Schizosaccharomyces pombe: one gene and its partners. Changing the gene in region 2 together with the main gene of any one other region gives a genetic interaction. Each region holds a gene or a part of one and is shown on either strand. Other genes may lie near its edges.

Region 1 (5,088 bases), on a different chromosome or scaffold from region 2:
AACAAATGGCATAAGCCAATAAAGGTTTAATTTGTAAGCTTTTTCCTGGTCTATTTCTATTCTACTATAAGCGGTATAATCCTTAACTCTTCAATTATATTCTATAAAAAGATATATCGGTTCAATATGTACTATATACCTATAAAACTTCCTTGTTTTAATATAATGATGTTAATATTTAAAAGGGAATTTCGTATTCATTTAAAAGATTATATGTTATTGCAAATATAATCTAAGTAAGGTTCTTTAATAGCTATATGGCTTAGTACCACCTCAGTAGACAAAATTACATTCATTGGTCTTACAAAGCATTCTACCACTACTTGCATAAACGTGGCTTTATTGACTTTGTGCTTAATGAATATTTAATTGATCGGGATTGCGAAGAAGTGTTAATCTATTTTTCGATTTTTTAAAAAAGTTTGGAGTCCTAGAATACGATTTCCCTATTAAAATGTCAGAAATGATCGTGCTTCCTCATAAAGTGTAAGTAGCTATTTGTCGTTCATTCAGCTTCCCTTAATTATATTTATAAATGATTTGCTAATACCTGTAATATGTAGAACTGTGAAAGTTCCTTTAGCCAGTCGAGTGGACGCTGAACGATGTTTGCAAGTGTTAGCTCCAGATCGTGAGTTGAAAGAGGAACTAGTGCAAAGAAATCTTTTTGTTGACGACAACTATTTGGTTGTGAACTATTCTTGCTCTTCAGCGAGGATGACAAGAGTAACTGTAAATTCCTTGTTTGAGAACCTTTATTTAATCATTGACACTATGCATGAATTGAGCTCATTATGATAAAGCTGTGCTTCTAAAGATGAATCTTATTTTATAAGAAAAATGCGATCCTTCTATTACAGTAACACAAGTTATTTTTATGTCGAACAATGACTGAAGAGTATTTATTGTCTAAGCAAAAAAATAAAATAAATAATGATTTCTGCCCCCTCCCTTTCTTTTTACTAGTTTTTCAAGTTCTATATTATTTCTGCTGTATCTTGATATAATTGATTCTCCTTGCTATATACCTTTTAAACTAAACTAATTTACAATTAAAAGTGACCAAATATCTGTTCATGGCTTAAAAGATAGTATAAATATTACCAGCACCTGAAGCTTCACCAAAAAAAATAATAACGCTTTTAGCTCTCATTCAGGATAGATTTGTTAGAGCTAGTGGTGAGAGTAGCAAACTCACTCTGGCTGGTATCCAATTCATAATCAGTTTCATTAATAATACCGTCGGTATCGTCATCATTGTCATAATCACTGCTCTCAGCAAGGTGGGCAGTCATTTCGGCTAAACGATTTTGTGCGTTCTCTATGGCTGTGCTACTTTTTTCTAACGAGCTTTCCAGCTGTTCCATGTACTGTTGGATGAACTCGGAATAGATATCAGCATCCTTTTCAGCCTTCTCGAGTGCATGCATAATTTTCTCCTTTTCACTATTGCTATTGAACATTGAATCTTTTAGTGGTTTATCAGCAATCTTAGCATCAGACACCTGTTTTGTCAAAGTCCTTTCCACTTCTTCAAATGTGTCTTGTAATGTCCTTATTTCAGCATCCAACTGAGGGTCATGCTTCAAGCATTCATTCCTGAGCTCTTCATACTCTTCTTCTAAAGCTTCTTTTTGCTTTTCGTACTGTTCGGTCTCAGAATTCGCCCGCTCCGTTTCAGCTTCCAATCTTTCAATCTCTAGCTTTAATTGCTGCTGCTCTTCCAATAGGTCGGTTATTTGTCTTTCGAATTCTTCTTGGATTTTTTGTTCTTCTTTAGCTGCCCGCTGTTTCCGATTTACCATACTGGAAACAGACGCCTTTTGCATTTTAAGAGAATCATAAACATTTAGCAAGTTATTCTTCGCTGACTCCAGCTCCTTCCTTTTCTTTCGCTCTTGCATAAGTAAAATAGAAACCTTGTCTCCTTCTTTCTTTAGTCTGTCGATTTCGTTTTGCATAGTAGCAATCAATTGACCAGAAGACGGTTTTCTAGATCCTGTTTTTGCATGGTCATGAGGTACTCCTCTACCAATATACGTTGCCTCAATATGATCTGTCAATTTTTCTAAATCATTTGCCATATCTTGGAGCGTCGAAACTTCTTCCTTTCTATTTTCTGGGATCGCTATATTAGCGTTTGCTTGAACTATTATTTACTTATTTCTCTTACCAATATTATCATGAACTTGCTCGATTTCATGTTCTAATTTTTCGGATCCCTCTAAACCCATTTTTTACATTAAATAAAAGAAAGAGAAATAAATATGAATTAGACTTGCTTCATTGCAAAGGATAAGTTGCATCCTTATTTTTCATTCATTGTCCTAAAGCATTCATTTATTGCACGGTAAGTCTCAGTTGGACTCGATAAACGGTTTAAGAGGGTGTATCAATCATTTAGATGAATGCCAAGATTTGAAGAAAATAGTATAATTATGGAATTATGGAACAAATGATTATTATTCTACATTATGTGTATAGACACAAAAATTTACTTTTAACAAGTCTTTCTCTTTAGTTTACATCCCACTCTTAGAAGACCATGGTTTATTTTAATAATAAAATATGCCATTCTATCATCGATGAAAATTGAGATTTGTATAATAAATAGTTAAATTTTAGTGCGCCAAAAATTAAGGGCTCATTTATGCTTTATACAGACTTAGTTTTTATAAACGTTTGCTATAAGTAACAGCATTACATAAATAGCAGAGGGCTAAATGCTGGCTAGATAAATATGAATGTAAAGTATGTTAAGAAATATTGAAAGATTACTCTCATTTCCAATGCAGGATTAAATGAAGTATATGAACAGATTTTGCATATATACCAAAAAACTCCAATAAACAGAGTGGTGATTAGCCACAGATACATTTTTTCTGTCTAGGTATGAACAGAACTTTATTTTATCAAAAGATGGTGCATTAAACATTTAGCTTTTATTTCTCCTTGGCTTTCCAATGAAATCCCACTGCGACCCAGGAAAAACAAGCTTTCTAGGAAGTGTTATCTGTAGCGGAAGGCTCTTTCGTTTCCTCTGATTTCACAGACTCCAAAAACGACGGTCGCCAACGATTCAAAAGCTTTGCGGCGGAAGCTTTAACATCTACATTCTCTTTCCACATCGTCTCAAGAATATCAAGGCATTTTTCACGTACAGGTTAGTCGAAACATTATTAAATACTGAAAAGTCATGAAACCGAGCTTCGTCTTATCGGGATCAAGACATACAAATTTAATTTTGTCAACTATAGCATCGGTGAGTTCTGGCAATTCAGACATAAATATCATAAAAACTTTATCTTTTGCCTCTAAGTATGGTAAAATGCTGTCTATTACTTTAAGGGCCCATTTTTCATATTGTGGACCTTCCCACTTAACATCCTCATATTCATGACAATCCGGATTTTCAAGCATTAGTCGATCATTATACCATTCCTCGGATAACCAGTTCAATATTAAATTTGTACTGGAACGCCAGTTAGATGCAACGTAAGTAAAAAGCTGCCCTCGAACAAATGAAGACAAAGTGAAAGAAGCATCTCCAGATTCCTCACCAGACGTTACAGGCTGATAATTCAATAAGCCTCGCGTACAAAGTCGTGGTAAGAGAATTGCCCAGTGACGCTTATCCCATACCGTATTATCCACATTTTCCAACGTTAAATTTTGAAGGTTAGAAGAAGAAACTATGCTTCTTTCAAATTGAGGAGCATAATCAAATAATCTGGATAAGGCACCGTGAAAGTATTCTAGAATAGCCATCGGGGACAGCGAATCTGGAGTGGGTAATTCAAACGCATCAGTAACGACATTGGAGGGAGCACTTCCCTCTAGTCGAGCTGCTTCACGTTCTACACTAGCATTGATAGTCTGAACATCTACCTCAGGCGGTTCATAATCCTCGTCCTCGTCTTCATCAACTTGTTGATCAAGACCAAGGGATTCAGGCTCAGAGAGAGAGCGCACTCTCTCTCTCAACATATTAATTTGCTGATGAAAGTAGTTTTTGTCTATCTTAAGAAGAGAAGTAAGTACAATTTCAGTAGCCACTTCAACCGGAATTGAAGTTACATCAAAATTTGCAAGAGGATTTATAGCAGTTTGTGAAGCAAATATGCTGATTAAGGGATTATTTTGCAAACCATCGTGAGAGCTAAGTTGGGGTTGCATTCTTTCTACAAGACTTTGTACAGCAGAAGACTTAACACGCTTAGAGGCAGCACTAATATTTCCCTCATATTGCCGTTTCTTCAAACTTTCATCGACTTTGGTATGATAAATTTGTCCGGAAAGATAAGCGTGAATTTTTTCGACGGAAGAAGAAGATGCACCTGTACTCTTAGCTAAATGAAGTAAAATAAGTTTTAGATTTTTTTCAATACACCGTATAGCTAACTTGCTTTCGTTCGACAGCTCAATTTCATCTTTTGGATTCGGAAGATGAAATTCTAACAAGCTTCCTATGATTTTTGGTGCTAGTTCCTTCCGTCGCTTCACCAAAACCGGTAAGATATTCAAAACGCTAGTAATGTAAAGGACATTCAAAGAATCCGAGAAAAGGATGGAAAATATTTTTTCAATTAAGTCATTTGCTTCTATTCTGAGGATATTTGAATTGATAAAAGGATGATGTGTGGGAACCTTAGAAAGAGACACGTCCGATTTAGTTACAAGACGGGGATCTCGAATCCCAGGCACTTGCGTTAAAATTACACAAGAAATAAATTTAATACAAGAAATTAAAAGAGGCTTGTTCCCTTTGTCAAAGTCATTAATGATTTCGTTTTTTAGCTTCGTTAAAGTGTCCCAGGTAGATGAATCGTTAGGTGAAGTACAACAGTGCAGAAATACTAGTGGGTAGATTGTGCAAGAACAAGATATAACGTCTTTTTTAACTTCTTCATTATCTACTGCGTACAGAGAAACAATTGTATCTAGACAAGTTACAGCTAAATCCAATTTCTGCTCAAATTTAACATTTTTGCTCGAAAATCCAAACCAGAGGAAATTTGCCATCCATTTTTTATACCTTATATCAGAATAGTTTGCCACAGAAAGAATGTTTCTCACGATTTCTGGAAA
Region 2 (8,698 bases):
GATGTAGCCTAACTACTCTTTAATTGAGTAAAAGAGACTTTGCTACATAAATGCAAACCACTACTTAAACTCTGGCGGTTTGCTGTTCATTACCTTTATTATTCCTTGACTCGATGCAGCTCGACAAATTATTTTTTTTGGCATTTTTTACATTTATCAACTTTTCACTAACTTTTATAACAGCGTGTTCGAGGCAGAGTTAGGTGATGTTGTACCCGTTGTTCATACCACAATTGGAGGAACCAGAATCATTGGTCGTTTGACATGTGGTAATAGAAAAGGTCTGTTAGTTCCCTCTTCTACCACCGATAATGAACTACAGCACCTCCGCAATTCTCTTCCAGATCCTGTCAAAATCCAACGTGTTGATGAACGACTTTCAGCTCTAGGAAACATTGTGGCTTGCAACGACTATGTGGCCCTTGTTCATCCTGATATTGAGCGTGAAACCGAGGAAATTATTGCTGATGTCTTAGATGTTGAAGTTTTCCGTCAAACCGTTGCAGGCAATGTTTTAACCGGTTCGTATTGTGCATTGAGCAATCAAGGTGCTTTGGTTCACCCTCGTACTAGCATTCAGGAACAGGATGAATTGTCATCACTTCTTCAAGTTCCTCTTGTTGCCGGTACCATCAACCGTGGTTCCGATGTTATCGGTGCTGGTCTAGTTGTGAACGACTGGTGTGCGTTTGCTGGACTTGATACTACGGCTACTGAATTGGCTGTCTGTGAATCTATATTTAAACTTCAAGATGCTCAACCTTCTGCTATTATAAGCAACAGAGACACTCTTGTTGAGTCTTATACATAAGCAGTCGGTGTGAGCTAACTAAAAAATTATTGATCAGGATTTATGAGTTTGGATAATTCATCCTACGTGATATTTTCCTATTAAAGTTTTAATGTTGATACGTTATACGTATGTATCTGGTTATAAAATTTTTGATATGCCTTTCGGTTTAATAGTCCTATCCATTGTGGTACCCAAGCTTCCTATTGTAGAAATTTACAATACAAGTTTTTTATAGACCATTATAACACTTAAGGGACTTCCGTAATCGTGTTTATTTTTATTATGTCAAATAGATTTTGAAAATGCTTTTATTGCTTTGCTTTTTGTCTGTTCTTAACACATTCGGATTTGTTAAGCTATTCTCGCTTATAGAGTAGAGCTTCTTGCTAACGCTGCATGAGACTTCGTACTTCAATTTACGTGTTTTATTAAGTAGTTTGCAGCCTTTATATTAAAAATGATCTAATAAATATACTTTCTTTTCAGTCTTTGGTGACAAACTAGTTATGGAAAGTATTTCGATGTAGGTATTTTTTGACTGAAACCAATGCGTACTCCGCAAGCGAAATAAATATTTAAGAATAAATTAAGTTACCAAGTAACTATACAAAGTGGGGAAGTAGAATAGACTACAATACTCATAGATATTTATATTTAGCAGTAAATAAAACTCGTAAAAGATTGTCATTATCAGGATGTTTTGATTAAAACTTCCACGGAAACTAAGGCCCAGCTCCAAATTTTGAAAGTAAAACCCCTAATTAGGGAATAAATAAGTAGGCAGAGCACCTTGAAAAATAACTAGATATTAAACTTTAATACCATTTGGTACTTGATTTTCTTCGTCGCTCGAGTTCTGTACATCATTGTCGGCTACGTTGCCTACAGTGATCAAAGCTTGCTCAACACTTTCTTCTGCACTAGCAAGGTCGATGATACGACGCAAATAGGTAACATTACAATCATCTGGTATCTTTATTTTTTCAAGAGATGGAGATTCCTCAAAACTATCTTGTAGTCTATAATCCAACACTTCGTAAGTAAGTTGTTCCCTTTGATTGATGCCTTCAGCAACAATATTTTTGGACAATTCAGACATAGTTTTTTTCGGTACATGAGCCTCGTAGTCAGCATAGTCATAACGATGTAAGAGTGTTTTTATTTGCAGAAAATTAAGAGCATAAAAGTCGCGGACCCTGGCCACATAATTTGGATCATCTTTCACAAATTGTAGTATCTTGGAGGTTTGTAAAAGCTCTTCGAGCTGCAAATAAGCTTCCGGAACACCACTTTCTAGACACCAATCCTTAAGAACATGATAATTGTATGAAATATTGGTACCACGTTTCCAAGATCCACGTTCATCAATAAAAAGTGAATTGAATGCCTCCACATTAATGAATCGATATATGCTTCTAATCAATGCATTATATATTTCATAATTAACTTTATAGGCCTGACAAGAATCATGCACCTTATTTAGTACATGTATTACATCGGTGATTTTGTATTTTGGTTTCTCAAAAAATTTAATCCGTAGTTTTCGATTCTCATCTCCAGCATCCGTATTTGTACCAGTAATAATCATTGCCTGAACAATCAATGGCTTTAAAAAATTATTGACTTGCCTAACCCATTCGAAAAAGATTTTTGACAGATGTGATTCAATCATCTCAAAAATGGTTTGCACTGATTCATGAGATTCGGTGGATAAAAGAGTGAAAGCCGAGGAATGTTTAAACGCCTGCTGCTTAGTATAAACAAAAGCCAAGAGCGCATGTGTATTTGCAACCCAAAATCCGATGTCAGGTCTCTCATTAGCAGATGATGTCTTTTGAAATACGTATTCTAAAGTGTGGACACAGTAACGCTCAACCAAGGCAACACTTTCCTGACACAGATTTGATTTCCACATTTGTGATATTATTATAAAAAGTAGTTTTGCTAAAAACAAATGATCAAGTTTCTGAGCCTCAACATCGTTGTCCTTTAGTAATAGAGTTTTAAGAGTTGTAAATGTTCTACCTGCATATTCTGTGAGTTTGTCAAGATCGTGCTTCAAGCCATCGTTCATTAATAGCACAAGCATCTCTTTTTGAGTACGCATTTCCATCAATGAACTATCACGACGTGATTTCTCTTCCGAATTGCGCGACTGTTCGATACTAGAGGCCGAATTCAGTATTTTAGTGGCTTTTGTCAGACTAGCAATTATCCTGTTTTTCTCTTTCAACTGAGAGGTTTGCTCAACAATAATCATATCGTAATTTTTAAGCTGCGACTTCAAAGTTGCATTTACTCTTAAAAGTTCGGTATTCGCATCGTTGACTTGCCTCATCTCCTCTTCCATCATAATCAAAGCGTTTTCTTTCTCTTCAAGTAACTCCTTTAATTCCCCATCTTGAGATTGATCCGATATAAGTACCCTAGTTTGCTCAAGTTCTCTTTCTTGTGCTAACTTTGCTTCAGCATAGTTGGACAGATGAGACTCCAATTCAGCGATTCTTTCCCTGAACTTGTTATTTTCCTGCTCCGAGTTGTCCAACTGTTTTGAAATCTCAAACAATCTGCTTTCAAGCCTGTAAGATACTTGCTTAAGGTGACTCGCTTTAGTGGATTCAATTTTTAATTCTGTCAATTGTCGCTTTGCAAGTTTCATCCTCCAAAGAGACTGGATACGAACTGCATAATATTGTAGTTCTTTGTAGTGCTTATGGGCTTTAAATGTTAACCAAAGACTTTGAATAATTAATGTTGCATCATGCTTTGTCTTTTCCTCTAAAGTCTGTCTTAATAAAAAGCCTCTAATTATACTTTGCACTTTAAGTATAGAATTTTTCGTTTGTATGAATTCTTTTCTCTTTAATGCAGTTCTCCAAAGTGACTGAAGTTTAATAATATTGGAAGAAAGTAATTCGTACTCCGTATGGCGACGAGATAAGAAACCATGAGCAACGGCTTGAAAGCTCCTGACTCTCTTCCGAGACAGAAGAAAACGAGTCCTATAGTAATTAACAGCAAACGCTTCATACAAAAGATGTGCTGCATGTTTCAAAGCTTTGTCTCTCGCACTCTCTAAAAGGGGCGTCACACCTGAACGAAAAAATATTTTAGTTTTGCCAATTTGATATTTAGTCGGATCAGCATGTTTCTCTAAAATTGCCTTGCTAAAGGTCAAAGACTCCGTAGTTCTTACGGCAGAGGGAACCAACATGTAATAACGAGAAACAAACTCATCAAAAGTCCAACGGGAGGGAAAACCAGCACAAGATATTTTTATAGTTTCTAAAACACCGCATGCTCGTAACTGAGAAACCACCATTTGGTTATCAAATTTCCAGGCTTCTTTCTCTTCATTTGGCTTGATACAACGAATATAATGAGCATTAGTTTCGTTGATGGTACTCATTAGACTAACCAAAGAGCTTTTAAACATTGAACCAAGAGTATTACTTTTTGGCTTGGTTTTTATTTTTTTGGTATCGGCTGGGGGTGCAGTTTGTTCAAGACGGAATAAAACCAGATCCTTGACAAAGGGAACGTCTGAATTTGTAAAAAGCTCCAACAACTCATCGGATATTGTATCACGGTTTTTATCAATAAATCCTTCGGCACAGTAAACAACGTCAAGAGCATAATGCTTAATTGTAAACTCCTTGTTACCAAACCTTGATTTCTGATAACTATTTTTGAATTCTGGCTTGGAGAATGCATCGTTCAACTTACTAACCCAATTTTCATCGCTGTTCGTGGGCATTCGGCATTCTTCGTCTAAAAGGGAAAGAATCCCTAAACGACTCTCAATCATGCTAATACATTGCTGATTGTCTTGATAATCAATATAGGACCAGTTAAGTCCCTCAGCAGCATACTCCTCCTGTTCCAGTTTGAAAACATGGCGATAAAATTCCTGTTGAAGTTTTTCGTTCGCATAATTGATGCAAAACTGTTCAAATGAATTTTTTTTAAAGTGCTCGAACCCATAAATATCTAGAACACCAATAAAACTTTTAGCCGTCTGGTTCGATTTATCAGCTGAGTACATCAAGGCTTTATTAATAGTAGCTACCAGCCAGTCGAAGAGTGAAGCGTAAAGGAATTTCGCTACTGAGTCTCTAGCTACTACAGCTTGAAATTCGTTCAATGGTTTCAAAATACCTTCAGAGGCCATCTTTATTTTACGCTTCGTTAACCATTTCACCAATGAAGAAGGATCCACGCCCAACAATGAAGTAGCGTTTATCAGATTTTCGTTTTTTGAATCAATGTATGCATCATTCCTTGAATGCTTAACCTCTATGTTACCGATATGCAGCAATGCAGCTAATAAGCTAAATATGCATTCACATGTATCATTATCAATGCCAACTGTTTTTAATGCATCAACTGTAGCTTTAAATTCCTCTTTATCATTGACGCCCTCAATTGTAGAACAATTTCCCTGTTTTAAATAATTAAATTCTTGAGAATTCTCAACAAGTTTCCACTTTTCAAGTTGTTCCGAGGATGAACCAGCTAAAATCTGATAGAAAATATGATAATTTCTTTCTTGATTAGGCTGAAATACTAATCTTGATCTTTCTAAAAGATAAGTTTGAATTTTAGCACCAATGATTGTAGCATTTCCGTCGAACAAAATTTGAATATATTTACCAAAGCGAGAAGAATTGTCATTTCTAGAAGTTTTAGAATTACCAAAAGCCTCCATAATCGGATTTGTAGCAAGTATCTCATTCTCGACAGCAGTTAATTGTGGAGCTTCATGAAAATTGGAATCGGTGGATTGAATAAGTGCTTGCACAGAAGCAAAATACCGCATTATGTATCTTGCGGAAACAGTTTTTCCTGCTCCTGACTCACCAGATATAATAATAGTTTGATTTTTATGCTCTTGATTCATGCACTTGTAGCTATCTTCAGCAATAGCATAGAGATGGGGATCTAGCTCATCCCGAGATTTCTCCGAATAAGCACGTACTATTTCGTGAGTGTACAAATTTGGCAGTCTCTGAAAAGGATTTACTGCGATAAGGACAATGCCAGAATACGTATAAATTTGAAGTTGGTTGTACCTTGTTGACAAAGCATCCAACACTGACGGCTCATTTAGGTATGAAAGATCAGTAAGGTCATCAGCATCCGAGTTAATGGATCGAAGAAACGGGAGGCCGTTTCTTCCTTCATAATTTAAATCGTCTGGCTTCACTGTAATAACAGTTTCCTAACAAGATCACATTAGCTAATTAATCTCAATTGACCCAAAAGGGATACCAAAGAAAATAATAATTTTCGTACGTTTTCGTTTTCATCTTGTACCGTTAAGAAAGCTTTCTCACCTTCAACTCGACAATCCTTTATGCTTCCAGGGATCCATTGGCTTTGCTCATCTGGAATCCAGCATTGACTACATTTCGCAACAACAACATTAGCAGGATCCTTTAAAGACGATTCTAATAAACTTACAGTCCCTTGTAATAAATCCCCGATGTCATGACCGGTAGAAATTACAAGACTCCCCGAACGCCTAATTTAAACTAAACACAGCGTTTTGTTTACACACAAAAATAGATGTTTGCTCAAAAAATGTCGCAAAACAATATGCAAATGCTAAAACTAATAGAAAAAAAGTTTACTAACGCGTTTACGTTATTTCAAAACTTTCTTCTTTACTTATGGAAAATACTCGTTCTCTGCTGATGTTAATATGGAGATGACTTCGCTGAGACAAAGTAATATGAAAAGCGAATTATGCAATTTGATAAAAGCGCATAGTGGTTTCACTAAAGTTCATAAAACCTCAAATAAGAATCAAACTTTTACCATTAAGAAATCACGCTATGTTATGATATGTTAACTATCACTATTTATTATGTTTTTAACTTTCAAGGTTGGCTTTGTTGAAAAGTACAATTAACATTTCACATTTCAATACGGCTAGTGAGTTAGTTTTTTGCTTCAGAATTACTATAATTGTTATTTCAATTATCAAGTATATAAGTTATTATAATATTAAATAATGTTAAGTTGAGCGTAAGAATATTTATTACCAATCGTAGTAAACATACATAAGATTATAAAAAATTGCAATAGAAACTCAACTACTTCATCGTATTTAAAAACAGTTGTCTGTTTACTATGCAATTTTGTAATTATTTTAACGATACGTAGTAATGCGGTGAGCTTTCCTTGCGACCTATAATATTGTAATACATAGGTTATAAAAGTAACAATCAAGTATAGGTATTATAATATAAAGGGTATATTGTTATCTATCACAAATGTAGCTTATTGCTGAACCTCTTTCCTCAGTTCAGTAGTAGCTATCTTTTATAGTATTCTAATAGCAAGAATCTTTATCGAACATCATTAAGATCAATTTCAATATCGTATCATCTATGGTACGATGACAAGTAGAACATGTGACATATAGTGACACTCGACGTAATGTATGATAGCGTAGTGCAGTTTTACTGGCATATTATCGAACTGCATTGCTGATATTAATAACTAATACCGAGCTAGCTACGATTTTTATCAGAAAACAGTATGCTAAATAAGGCAAACTAGTGCGGCTTAGAATTACTAGTAAAAGAGGAGGTAAGATGGTACAAACATGTAAATAATACCATTCAAAATCAACGGTTTGAGCAACACAATGGATTTCTAACAGTAAAACATCAGATAAAAAAAACAGAATATTATATATATCATAATTCTTTCGTTTTGATAGATAATTTCGTGCTCTCGTTATATATTCTTGTACGAGAATGATTTACTAAAACCGTTTGGAAACAGGGATATTTTCATAAAAAAAGCAACTAATAATCTAACGCTTTGACTCAAAGACAAATTCGATTTAGATAGTATATGTTTCTGTTTTCTCTTCAAAGAAACTCAGAAGATGATTACTCTCAAAATGGAGCATCAATACTAAATATTAATTAATTGGGCTATGATTTCGATTAAAAAAGAATTACAAAAGTAAAAAGTCTATAAAAGACATGTTTCTTCGAGATGAGAAGATGTTTTGGAAAATGTATAGTCTGCAGCATAAACCCAAAAGAGAAAAGAAGAATTATAAATGCATTTACATATTTTTAGGCCAAACTAATTATGAAAAACCAAATAAGGTAACTTAGTTAATAAAATTTATAAGGAATCAAGTTACTCAATACTTTTAGAACGTCTCAATTACAAACAAAAAAATGATAAACCTTCGACGTAACAACAGCTTCCCTCAAATCAATTATTTTTAACACACTTAAGAAAAAAAAATATGTATTTCATTACGTTCAACATCATAATAAACGCATCCCCTCCGCTTCCAAAATTTTGGGTAAACAAACAAACAAACATCGCTTATATAAGAACCTTCTCGGTAGAGATATTGATCCTTTAACACACACGGCTGAAGTGATTTAGTAAGCAAAGAAGTAAATTATCTTTTCTATAAGTATCGTTTATGCTTAATTGTAAAGACTTTTGAGCACAACGCATGCGTATGGTCGATGAACCATCAAAATGGTGTCTAGATTTTTTTCTTGGACGTAAGGAAATATTAAGAAGGAGAAAGGTTACGCAGATTATGAAGATTATTGACCCCTTTTTTTTAGAAACGAAAAAGTGAGTATACCTTTCCATGGCGAGTGAAACTGAGCCGATGTAGTGTTTGTTCAAAATACTCAAAACAACGAACGAAAAGAAAGGAATTGTATTACTGACCTTATTAGCCATTGGGAGACCAAAGAGCACACTTGCCTGATAGTTTTCTTGAACTTGAGCAAGAAATAGCGATTCGAGAAGAAGGTGAGTAAATATGCTGCAGACAAAGTTTCTTAACATAATGTAGGACTATCTAAACTATTTCAAGCAACGACAATATGGATTGATTCAATTTGTAAGTAG
Region 3 (5,732 bases), on a different chromosome or scaffold from region 2:
TTTCTTTCTTTTCGTTTTTTTGCTAACACCGTACCACTCTCCCGGGCTTCGTTCTCAATTACTTTCTCTATATGTTTCTGTTTCTTCTTCATTCCTCTACGAGCAGCCATTGGCATTTTCTCGGTTTCCTTCTTACCGCCCAGTTGAGCAATGTGCTGCTGAACGACTTTGTGACGGATTTTTCCTTCAGCAACCAACTGAACTTGACCTGTCCTTGAGGTTGCCTCATGTAAAAGATGAGATTCTCGTAAAAGTTTTTGTAGTTCTAAATCGTTTTTTAGATTCTCGACTTCATCATCATCTGAACCATCATCATTTTGACGAGATCGTTTTCGCAATTTTTGTTCTTCTCTCTTCTTTGCTAGAATTTCTTCTTCATCTTCTAACTTGGGCATTTTTTTTAAAAAAGATACACGACCTACGGTCGCTGACAGAGTTGGCTTCTCAACTTCTTGATGGGAAACTCGTAGAATTTTGGACCCAAAAGACACATCTTCTTTATCCTCCATATCTGAAATAGCGTCTTCCTCCTCATTGCTGGTAGTTGGAGATTGTTCTTTTTCTGAAGCATCCGAATTGAAAGCAGTTTCAGAAGGCTTTGCTGAAACAGGTTGTAATCCTTCGATGTGTCCAAATTGATCTTCAAAATGCCTCTGTAAGGCTAATAAAGCATTCTCTGACATGTTTATTGTCAAAATTATAAAGAAGGTGATAGGAAGAATGAAATAAAAATTTATGGTGGAGTTTGTATTTGACAGCTTACTTCACTGGTGCTGTAACGTCTCAAAGTTGCTCACTTCAACTATTTTTTTATATAAGACATAGCAATTCTGTGATTGTTTCATTTCTTCTCTTTTTTGTTTTGCACGTTATTGGGAAATTTGAAGATATGGAAAAATCGCAGCACACTTTGTTTCGACCATGTATCGATATTCATCAAGGTCAAGTCAAACAAATTGTTGGAGGCACATTAGGAAATGACGCAGACGTGAAAACTAACTATGTATCATTAAAACCTAGCAGTTATTATGCTGAACTGTACAAATTGAATCACCTCGAAGGAGCACATGTTATTATGCTTGGGCCGAACTGCGAAGAAGCAGCTAAAACGGCTTTGCACACATGGCCTGGTATGTCGTGCATTTTTTTTTTGGATAAATAATTTTAATTATTTTACAACTTACAAATGAAGGTGCTCTTCAGATTGGTGGGGGGATTAATATTTCTAATGCACAAAACTGGCTACAAGAAGGTGCCTCAAAGGTAAATTTAAAATTAATTTACATGCTATGTTAAACGTTAATCTTCTTTTACATTAAGCAATCTCGGATGTGATTATTTGTATATTCATTTCTGAGTATGCAATATTGATTAAAAAATTGCAGCTAAAGCTGGTCATAAAAATACATGCTCATAAAAAGAGTTGTGTTCCAAAGGCATTAGTAAAGTTACAAAAAAAGAATGATGCGTAAAATGATTAACAATCAAATGAAAGTGTGAAGTTCCTAACTTTGTCTAGGTAATAGTAACTTCTTGGCTGTTCCCAGATGCCCAGTTTGATTTGGATAGACTGAAGGCTATATCTTCAAAAATTGGAAAAGACCGCTTGGTTGTGGATGTGAGGTAAGAAACCAATTCGCGAGCAAAGGAGGAAACTTCCAAGAGTATTATTAATAACAAAACTTACAGTTGTCGTCGAAAAGATAATAGGTGGTTCGCTGCCATCAATAAATGGCAAGTAATGACTGCTTTTGAACTAAATGAAGAAAACTTAGATTTACTGTCTCAGTATTGTTCGGAGTTTTTAATTCACGCTGCAGACGTTGAAGGTCTATGTAAGGGTATAGATGAGGACTTGGTAATTAAATTGGGAGAATGGGTCAAAATTCCTACCACTTACGCTGGAGGCGGTCGCAGTATAGAAGATTTGGATCTGGTAGATAAATTGAGTAAAGGAAAAGTTGATTTAACGATCGGAAGTGCTTTAGACATATTTGGCGGCGTCTTGGAGTTCACTCGAGTTGTCGCTTGGAATCGACGATTTACTCCATTGCCTCTCCAAGACTAAACATTTTTCCTTAAAATCAGTAGAATCCAAAGTCTTTCCTGCCATAGTTGATTCGATACTCTTACAGCAATCCAATTTGAATTGTGCATGACGACCCAACGCGGTATTTTTGGTAAAAGGAAGCCATACCAAAAGAGACCAAAGGATTAATGCAACCTTTTCTGTCCAACCACCACTTGTACTGAAAAACAAAGACATGAGGTAAAGAACGGTTGGAGGGACCCAGTCGTTTAGTCCAACCTTAGTTGTAGGATAATAGGTAATTGATTCCTGATGCCAGGCTTCTACTAGTTCATGGTTGAATGGTAAAAACTGCTGTAGTTTTCCATTAGCTACGACCATGAAAATGGTTAGTGGAAAATAACCGAGGAAAAATACAGCTGCCAAACATAGCAAGCGTAAGAATCGTTTTGAGGTTAGTTGAGAATCTCTCTGAAAAAATTGCTGCAGTTCTCTTTGTCGACGCCAGTAAAGCACGACGATTCGGGAAACGAAGAACAAGCCACCAAAAGACAACAGGCATGGAGGGATGTAAAAAAATAAAAGCGTGTACCACGTTTGGTAAAAAGAGCTGTAGCATCCATTCATGCATATTACCACATAACGGTTACTTTCCAAAGGAACCATCATTGCCATGATAATCAATGGCAGCAGGATGGATAAGCATACATGCCAAATCCAATTTTCATATCGTTTGAGAGGGTGGTCTCTGCGAATGACTGTATCAAGATACAGGACCAAAGTGAAGGCAGATGCAGGAATTCCAATACTTGAACATGTGACAATTCTAGATGTAATATCACACAATCCATAACCCATCCATCTAATTGTTTCTGCGTAGGGATTGCTCCAAATAGCAGACTCGACAACGTAGATGAGAGTTGTTAGGGTTAACCAAAATAAAAGCAAAAGGCAGGGAATGTTTCTCGCACGCAACTGCATGTATAAGATGGGGATAGACAAAACAAGGGCAAAGTAAGCATAAAATTGATAGAAAATCCCAATAGGCAACATGGTAAACTCAACGTATAAGTAACTAATAAATATGATATAAAAGAAAGTAAGATACAAAAATTAAATGGTACACAAAGACCTATATAGAATTTCAAAATATTAAAGAAGGTGAAAAAGAAAGCCGAAAGACGATGCGCAAACAAAAGAGTATAAATTCAGTGATGATGGTAGTCTTGATATTTGGATAGAGCAAAAATTGGAATTGTATATGCCAAGATTTTCCTAAGATTGCCAAAGTCGTGTACAATTTGAACTTCAATATTGTTCCAAAATAAAAGTAATAGACACGGAAAATGTATTATTTAAAAATACAGGACAGGAAACGAAAAGGTTAAAGCTATTGGAAACACCTTTGATCGCTCGCCAGATATCCCGCGCGAAGCTTGAAAACTTGAAAACAACTTGCGAAAACAGAGCACGGTTCGTAATTAAATGAGTAAGAAAAATTACTGTTGAGTATAGAACCTTGTTTGTATTTATTTGGCATATTGAAGAAGGGCAGTAGGCTCTTTATATACCTACCGTGAGAAGCCTCAGCATAGAGATCCATTTTCGGTCGGTCAAAGAGTTCAGCCCATTTGATTATCTAAAGCATAGTATTCCAATTTGAGGCATCAAAAGCGAATTCTTTATCTTTAATAAATCCATAGAATATCTTTTTGATGGGTAATCTGCGAAGTAAATACGTAAAGAAATTTTGGTGTTTAACGACTGTTTGACTTCATATATCGCGGTCGTTTATATTAATTGATGAGCGCATTGCAAAGAAAATTTCTTTTTAGATTTTGTACTCGTGAACAATTGTGCTGATGCGCTGAAGTTTTACTTTATAAATCGCAGCCTATATACGAGAGTTTGGTTTGAATTGCACTCGGTATATTATGGAATTGGTACACTAGCCGTTAGTCATATCTTCCTTTATATATAATTTATAAAAATACTCTTTCCTGTAATCTAATTCCATCCTTTACTTCTCTAAACCCGAAAACGAAATCAGTAAACATTAACGCGTACACATTTACGCGTAAGTCAATTCTTTCCAAATAGCTGGAGTATTGATCCAGATCAATTTTTTTTAACTGGTTTGTTTGTTAAAAATTTCAAGTAGAAAATAAAACAAGTTACTCACATTAACGAGCTTATATTTTGTTAACAATAGCACTAGGTAACTTCTTACACGTATTAGTACTGGTAATACTTATCCTATAAAGTTACGACTTAAATAGCGCTATTATTAAACAATATACTCAACCATGCTAACGAATAACTTGGGTATTTAATTAATTATAATTCTGCGAAGTAAAACATGTAAGCCATATTTGTATGTTTGTATTTCTTTTAGTACAAGAAAAGAAGAGAGCAATCAATGTTATATAAAATAAAAGCAATAAAATGTAAGAGCAATAAAAGTAAGCAATTCTCGTTGATCCGTGTGCAAGTTTTATATACCAATATGTTCATTATCTCAACCCAGAGAACCAACATGAGCAAGACAATAGCATCTGTTTTCCTCATCATTTATCAGAAAATGTTGCACGGCTATAACCTGATGCTGATGTTTCGTATATCACAATAGGCATATCAATCAAACGTCTGAAGCAAAGGTGTTATAAATCGTGTTTGTATCCTTTGAGAAAAGGACATCAAAAGGAATTCGCGATTTTCTCTTAAACTTTAATACAGTGCTTATCATTGATTTTAACTACATAATAATAGAGTTTCATTTCATTCTATAATGAGATAACTATAGTAGGTTACGAAAAAAAAAGTAGCCAAATTAAATCTGATGAAGTGAATATTGGCATAAAAAGAAGGAAAAAATCGGTAACAACTCTTCCTAACTTTTTTTTCTAAAATCAACGGATAAATGATATCAAAGCGGCAAAACGTTAGGCTCCAATATAAATGTCAAAAGGTGTAAGAAACAAAAAAGAAAGATTTTTTTAGGAAACTTTGCAGAACTTATATATCCTTTGAAAAGAAAAAATCTTCAATCATATATAGTTAATAAATCTTCCTTTTCAACAAAAGGTTATCTTGTAAGTGAGCAGCGTGCATGCTTTTTTCGAAACAGAGATATGCTGAATACAAGGGAAGAAAAAATATAACATGATTCGGATAAATTGTCTTTTAGCAAGTTGAGAAAAAATAGTATATAAATTACCAAGAAACCAGTAACTTGTAAATCTAACAAAATGAGAATTTGCTTAGGAATAACAGTTTCGGGATTTTCATAAAATTAATTAGAAGCATTTTAAATTAGCAAACGACCTGTGAACTCAAATAAGTCCACTCTCTTTTGCGAGGGAATAAAACAAAGATGCTTTATTTTCCAGCAGCTTTTTCGTTGAATCAAATTCGACTACCTTACCATGATCCAATACTAATATACGATTCGAATCCATCACAGTATTAATACGGTGAGCAATGGTCAAAATGGTACGATCGTTAAAGCGTTCACGAATTGTGCGTTGCACAATAGCATCTGTTTCAACATCAACAGCTGCAGTAGCTTCATCTAATAATAATACGCGTGTGGGTGTCAATAATGCCCTTGTCAAGCACATCAGCTGGCGTTGGCCTGACGAAAGATTGGCTCCTCCTTCTGTAACACGGGAATACAACCCGCCGTCAAGAGTCTGGATGAATT

The links.
Region 1: of myo52 (region 2) and rng8, changing one enhances a phenotype caused by changing the other (phenotypic enhancement), as found in Schizosaccharomyces pombe (one study listed by BioGRID).
Region 3: of myo52 (region 2) and map3, changing one enhances a phenotype caused by changing the other (phenotypic enhancement), as found in Schizosaccharomyces pombe (one study listed by BioGRID).

What each region holds. Positions count from the first base shown.
Region 1 is NC_003424.3:3,852,627-3,857,714, forward strand, and holds rng8 (protein Rng8), read right to left. Parts: upstream 2,291-5,088; 5' UTR 2,235-2,290; coding exon 2,174-2,234; exon of another isoform or gene 2,120-2,173; coding exon 1,143-2,119; 3' UTR 945-1,142; downstream 1-944. Other genes in the region: transcriptional regulator Pcc1, read left to right, coding at 455-486, 564-798.
Region 2 is NC_003421.2:2,223,447-2,232,144, forward strand, and holds myo52 (myosin type V), read right to left. Parts: upstream 6,495-8,698; 5' UTR 6,286-6,494; coding exon 6,257-6,285; exon of another isoform or gene 6,198-6,256; coding exon 6,089-6,197; exon of another isoform or gene 6,080-6,088; intron 6,015-6,079; coding exon 1,602-6,014; 3' UTR 1,436-1,601; downstream 1-1,435. Other genes in the region: tif6 (translation initiation factor-like ribosome biogenesis protein), read left to right, coding at 184-811; BAR adaptor protein Mug137, read left to right, coding at 8,315-8,340, 8,407-8,416, 8,524-8,599, 8,643-8,690. UniProt on the Schizosaccharomyces pombe protein: Involved in cell wall deposition where it has a role in the localization of mok1.
Region 3 is NC_003424.3:2,831,907-2,837,638, forward strand, and holds map3 (pheromone M-factor receptor Map3), read right to left. Parts: upstream 3,083-5,732; coding exon 1,985-3,082; coding exon of another isoform or gene 1,690-1,984; 3' UTR 1,624-1,689; coding exon of another isoform or gene 1,520-1,623; 3' UTR 1,325-1,519; downstream 1-1,324. Other genes in the region: rRNA processing protein Faf1, read right to left, coding at 1-683; his6 (1-(5-phosphoribosyl)-5-[(5-phosphoribosylamino)methylideneamino] imidazole-4-carboxamide isomerase), read left to right, coding at 890-1,130, 1,193-1,263, 1,520-1,623, 1,690-2,068; vacuolar phytochelatin and glutathione S-conjugate ABC family transmembrane transporter Abc2, read right to left, coding at 5,362-5,732.